Linked DNA regions of Caenorhabditis elegans. The protein of the gene in region 2 interacts with the protein of the main gene of each other region in a pairwise test. Each region holds a gene or a part of one and is shown on either strand. Other genes may lie near its edges.

Region 1 (3,199 bases), on a different chromosome or scaffold from region 2:
ATTTTGCCGGTTCACCGATTTTCCGGAAATTTCAATTCCGGCAATTTGGCGATTTGTCAGAAATTTTCAATTTTGCCGGTTCACCGATTTTCCGGAAATTTCAATTCCGGCAATTTTCTGATTAGTCGGAAATTTCAATCCTCCGGCAATTTTGCCGATTTGCCAGAAATTTCAATTCAGGCAATTTTCCAATTTGTCGGAAGTTTCAATTCCCGCAATTTTCCGATTTGCCGGAAATTTTAATTCCGGCAACAGTTTTATATGACCTCTTTCTTATTATTTGGTTTTTTAATTTAATAATAAAGAACAAAACACAAATTCGAAAAATACAAATTATTTATTTTTACACAACAATAAATAGACAACACACTTAAATGGTCATATCCCGGTTGTTTTAAGATTTATCGAAAAACTACCAACAAACAAAATATTGCTGATGCCTTTTTCAATAATTTTGTAGTTGAACACTTTTCGATATCACTTATTTAAACCAAGATATAGGATACCAAAAATGAAATAGAATACAATTAAACTAAAAACAAATATTTACATTTAAAAATTCAAGCTCCATTCGAATAAGTTTCTCTCGGCGAGTTCTCACAATCATAGATCCCGCGACGACGATTGCGGTATGGTTCCCACGTTCCATTTCTTCCATACGGATGCCATCGTCTCCCATGACGCTGCTCCCACTCGGCAAGCCCATCTCGACAACGGCATGGCGAGGAGTCACTGGAATTGGTTGATGATTTAGAACTCACCGAGTCATCGGAAGAAGAGGACGAGGAAGAATCATCAGAGTCATCAGAAGAGTCGTCAGACGAAGTGTTCGGAGGTTTCACCGACTTTCTCTTCGATCTCTGTTTACGAGCTCGTCGAGCTCGTGGAGCTGGAGATTCAGAGATCGGAAGTTCCGAAGAACGTGGATATTGACACCCTTGGGTGTCTCTACGATCTTGAGAAGTTAACGTGGAAACCGTGGAGTCGGAATATCTATCTTCATCGTCCTTATCTGAAAGTTCAGATTCTGAACTATCAGATGACGAGTCGAAGAATCCGTCTCCAAGAGGAAGTGGACGAGTGCTGAGCTTTCTCATTGTAAATGAGATGCTCTTCAAGGTGAGAGGTGCTGGTTTTATAGGTGGGTTTTGTTGACGAATAGTTTCGAATTATTTCGAAGAGTTTCGAAATTAGTCATGACTTTGATAAGGTGGGCAAATATTGATGACGATATGTGTGTAGTATTGCCAAATTTGAGGAGAACTCCTTGCCGTTTGATCTCCGAAAATTGGGGTCACACAGAACATTTCTGGAAGTACATAGAAGTCTATGTTTCCCGCAATTTTCAGAGGTCAAAAAGTAAGGAATTTGCAAATTTTTTTGCAAATTTTTTTTCCGGCAAATCGGAAAATTGCCGGAATTGAAAATTTCCGGCAAATCGGCAAATTGCGGAATTGAAATTTTCCGGCAAACTTGAAAGTTACCGGAATTGGACATTTTCGGCATACCGGCAAAGTGACAAAATTTAAAATTTCCGACAAATCATCAAATTGCCGGAATTGGAGTTGTGGCATACCGGCAAATTGACGGAATTGAAATTTCCGGTAAATCGTAAAATTGCCGGAATTGAAATTTCCGGCAAAACTGGGGCAATTACATAACTCTAGAAGGAGAACATTTTTGAATTCATAGCTCTTATATCTCTATAGTAAAATTTATGCTATAAATTTATATAAAAAACGTCCTAAAATTGTATTTTGCGCAGCAGGACCCATCTTTGTCGTGCTTTAAAGTTTCAAAAATAGAAACTCATTATTGACACACGAATTTATTTTTAAAAAAATACAAATAATAATAAATTTTATATTTAATTTGCATACTACAAAAACAAGTAATTTTTATCAAAAATTGCAAAATTCCGGTAGTCAAGTTAGTTCGTATGGGGTGGTTGAGAATTGATAACCCATACGATCCGGACCGCAGGAATTCGAAAACTGTTGGGGAGGAGGAAGTATATATACTAGAGGCAATGCAAGCGGTGGACGTTTCTCGAGGAATGGTGGTGGGTTTCTCTGGGTCTCTAGTAGTGTACAAAATGCGCTCCACCGCAATTCGATAATTAGGAGACTGTGTCAAACAACTTTATGTAAGGTGTAATTTTTTGGGTAAAAAATTGACTAATGATTTGAAAAAATCTATTTTAAAAAATCTGCATTTCAAGCCTATATATACGAAATCTTATTTTGTTTCTGTAATTTTTATTATTTTTCGAATTTAATTGAAAAATGCCTAACTAAAATTAAACGTTTCTTTCTAATCAACTTGCCCACCAAATTCCAACAATGCAAAACAGGAAGTCAAGTTGTTGCCGATGGGGTGGTTTCTTCAGATAACCCACCGACTCCGGACCTATGCCTGATAAAAAACCTTCTATCAACAGAGTATATATACCAACGGTCTGTTAAGTGGACGACGGTGTGTTGATAAGTGGCGTTTCAATGGAGCGCACTTGCAATAGTTGTGAAATCAGTTAAAATTTTGCGCTAGTAATTCAAATCCACATATATTATACATACATTACTTTATTTTTACACAATTAATACAGGCATAGTTTTGCACTCGATTGAACTTGTCCGGGATTCTTCTAGGCCGCCGCCGGCGCCACCCCCTTGTTCGGGCACATTGCTTCAATGATATTTTCGTCGGTACATTGACTGTCTTCACAACAATATCATGTCCACAGCTCTTTTTAAAACCCTCCGCCGCAAAGCTGACCATATCGATTTCTTCGGCTTCCTCCTCAAACTTTACTCCATATCCTTGCGAAGCGTACTTGCACAGAGACTCCTTGATGTCCAGATCGGTACACTCGTCCTTGCAGCACATCTTCCAAAGATCCACATCACTGCTGCGATCTGAAAAGCGATGATTCGGTTTTAACCTGCTAAGAATGATATAATAACATACCTTTCTTCCCACTGCAAGCTTCAAAAGCGCGATGAACAAGATGGGATCCACAGGAACGATAGGGAAGGAAGGCCGCATTTGGGACCGGGTGAATTGGATTGGCATTGGTGAGCACGGTGAGCATAGCAATGCTCAAGGCAATTGGCAGGAAAGCAGCCATGGTGTTCAATCGTCTATCCGGTTCGGGATGAGAGTTGAGGTATGATTCTTATTTTGTTTTCGATTTTGAGTG
Region 2 (3,322 bases):
GTTAATAAGGTTCATCAAAGTTTATTTAGAAATTTAGATGCTTTTATGATAAAATTTTTAATTATTTAATACAGAAAACACACAAAATTAAATGGCAACATGACGTGAAATAGTGATCTAAATAGCTGGAGAACAATTAATTTTTGAAACGAAATGCAAACATTTAATTTCCACTAAATAGTTTGAGTATTATTCGTACGTAAATGAAAACAAATTTTGATGGAGATTGACTTCAAAAATGACTGGAGCTTAAAAATTGACATGAAATCCTGGCAATGTTGTGGGAAGAGAATCTGCAGAAGGTTACTTTAATATTTTGAAAAGTGTCTATCATGAAAGATGCTTATCGCATTATGGAGAGCTTCCAATGTATATATAATGTAGTCACATATTCTATTTATATGAAAAATAAGTTTATTTTTTAACGTTTATTATAAAAAACAGTTTTTAAAATTATTCAAAAAAGTACATGAAAATAAGTAGTGGAATGAATTGAGAACATTGAATACTACTTTTGAAAGAATAATTATAAAATAAGAATGAAAAATGAGATAATTAACATCGACCAAATCTGCGTTCAAATGGATGTTGTCTCTTGAATCCATGATGTCCGAATCCATGACCAAATCCATGATGATGACCACCGAATCCATGGAATGCTCCAAATGGATGATGATGTCTATGGAAATTGAATCCATGATGATCCATTCCTCGTCTTCCAAATGGTCTTCCGAATCCTCCAGTTGGACCTTCAAATTCTTCTCTTCCACAAGGTGTTCCAAATGATCCTAATGGATGTCTTTTGAATTCTTCTCCTTCACGACATGGTCTTCTTCCAATTGGTGATGCTGATCTTGCACGTCTTCCACCAAAACAGTGACGTCTTTTGAATTCTGGATGTCCATGGGATTCTTGGAATCTTTTCCACATGAGCTTCTTCATTTGATGTCTCTTGTGATGATCATGGAAATTTGAACGACTTCTGCTTCGAGATCTTGAACGATCAAATCCACGACTTCTGGATCTATCACGTCTTCCACAATGACGACGATGTGGAGCTACTTCAGGAGCATCAGCAATAATGACATCTTCATCTCCAGAATCAGAAGAATCAGATGAAGAATCCGATGAATCAGAATCAGCAATCACAAAAATAGAAGCAGAATCTCTGTTAGCCATCTTTTTCAGAACTCTCTGAGCATTCTGAGACATTGAAATCAAATTTCCTTTGTCATTTTTCCAGAAAACAACATTGAAATTGAGTCCGAGTTCTCCCAATTTCAACTCTAATTTTTCAATTAGTTGTTGCAAATTGTAATATTCAATTGAAATTTGTTCAGTTGCTCCAGGAGCAAAATAAAGTTTGAAAAGAATTGAATTGGTTGCAGTTGTAGTTTTCATTTTTCAGAATGATTTTCTCTATTCTAAATTTCCAATTTTTATACCTCCATTCTTAAGCTCCGCCTACCAGCTGTCCCTGAACTATTTCGAAATTGTTTAATGTGTCTGTGTCTATCGAAATAATACGAAAATGTACTGTCATCACTGTCTGCGTCTCGAATTGGCGCTGATCTTTTGATATTCATTGATGAATGAGACTAGAGACATGGATGTATTGCACAAACCACAGAAAGAGCACAAAGTCTTTGAATTTCAGATGATCTGAAATACATCGACATCAATAGAGATTTACTTCTTAGGTGACATTATGCTTGGTGATTTCATTAGAAATATTGAACATTCATCTAACGAATTGGGATCTGCAAACTCAATGTTTCAGAAAACGTGTTCATTTCAAAAAGTGATCGAAAAATAGTTTTTTTCTGTAAAAATTTCGCTCTCCAGATTTCAGACCCTAATCAGATTGAAAACATAGGCAGGCACTCAGTCCGGGTTACGGAAAAAACTATTTTTCGATCGCTTTTTGAAATGAACACGTTTTCTGAAAAATTGGGTTTGCAGATCCCAATTTGTTAGATGAATGTTCAATATTTCTAATGAAATCACCAAACATTATGTCACCTAAGAAGTAAATCTCTATTGATGTCGATGTATTTCAGATCATCTGAAATTCAAAGACTTTGTGCTCTTTCTGTGGTTTGTGCAATACATCCATGTCTCTAGTCTCATTCATCAATGAATATCAAAAGATCAGCGCCAATTCGAGACGCAGACAGTGATGACAGTACATTTTCGTATTATTTCGATAGACACAGACACATTAAACAATTTCGAAATAGTTCAGGGACAGCTGGTAGGCGGAGCTTAAGAATGGAGGTATAAAAATTGGAAATTTAGAATAGAGAAAATCATTCTGAAAAATGAAAACTACAACTGCAACCAATTCAATTCTTTTCAAACTTTATTTTGCTCCTGGAGCAACTGAACAAATTTCAATTGAATATTACAATTTGCAACAACTAATTGAAAAATTAGAGTTGAAATTGGGAGAACTCGGACTCAATTTCAATGTTGTTTTCTGGAAAAATGACAAAGGAAATTTGATTTCAATGTCTCAGAATGCTCAGAGAGTTCTGAAAAAGATGGCTAACAGAGATTCTGCTTCTATTTTTGTGATTGCTGATTCTGATTCATCGGATTCTTCATCTGATTCTTCTGATTCTGGAGATGAAGATGTCATTATTGCTGATGCTCCTGAAGTAGCTCCACATCGTCGTCATTGTGGAAGACGTGATAGATCCAGAAGTCGTGGATTTGATCGTTCAAGATCTCGAAGCAGAAGTCGTTCAAATTTCCATGATCATCACAAGAGACATCAAATGAAGAAGCTCATGTGGAAAAGATTCCAAGAATCCCATGGACATCCAGAATTCAAAAGACGTCACTGTTTTGGTGGAAGACGTGCAAGATCAGCATCACCAATTGGAAGAAGACCATGTCGTGAAGGAGAAGAATTCAAAAGACATCCATTAGGATCATTTGGAACACCTTGTGGAAGAGAAGAATTTGAAGGTCCAACTGGAGGATTCGGAAGACCATTTGGAAGACGAGGAATGGATCATCATGGATTCAATTTCCATAGACATCATCATCCATTTGGAGCATTCCATGGATTCGGTGGTCATCATCATGGATTTGGTCATGGATTCGGACATCATGGATTCAAGAGACAACATCCATTTGAACGCAGATTTGGTCGATGTTAATTATCTCATTTTTCATTCTTATTTTATAATTATTCTTTCAAAAGTAGTATTCAATGTTCTCAATTCATTCCACTACTTATTTTCATGTACTTTTTTGAATAATTTTAAAAACTGTTTTTTATAATAAACGTTAAAAAATAAACTTATTTTTCATA

Evidence for each region. The genes of interacting proteins can lie anywhere in the genome.
Region 1: the proteins of numr-1 (region 2) and F08G2.5 interact in a two-hybrid assay, tested with the Caenorhabditis elegans proteins (one large-scale study listed by BioGRID).

Annotation. Positions count from the first base shown.
Region 1 is NC_003280.10:13,832,535-13,835,733, forward strand, and holds F08G2.5 (WW domain-containing protein), read right to left. Parts: upstream 1,098-3,199; coding exon 561-1,097; downstream 1-560. Other genes in the region: ins-37 (INSulin related), read right to left, coding at 2,578-2,915, 2,968-3,127.
Region 2 is NC_003281.10:7,362,064-7,365,385, forward strand, and holds numr-1 (PB1 domain-containing protein), read right to left. Parts: upstream 1,402-3,322; coding exon 556-1,401; downstream 1-555. Other genes in the region: numr-2 (PB1 domain-containing protein), read left to right, coding at 2,322-3,167.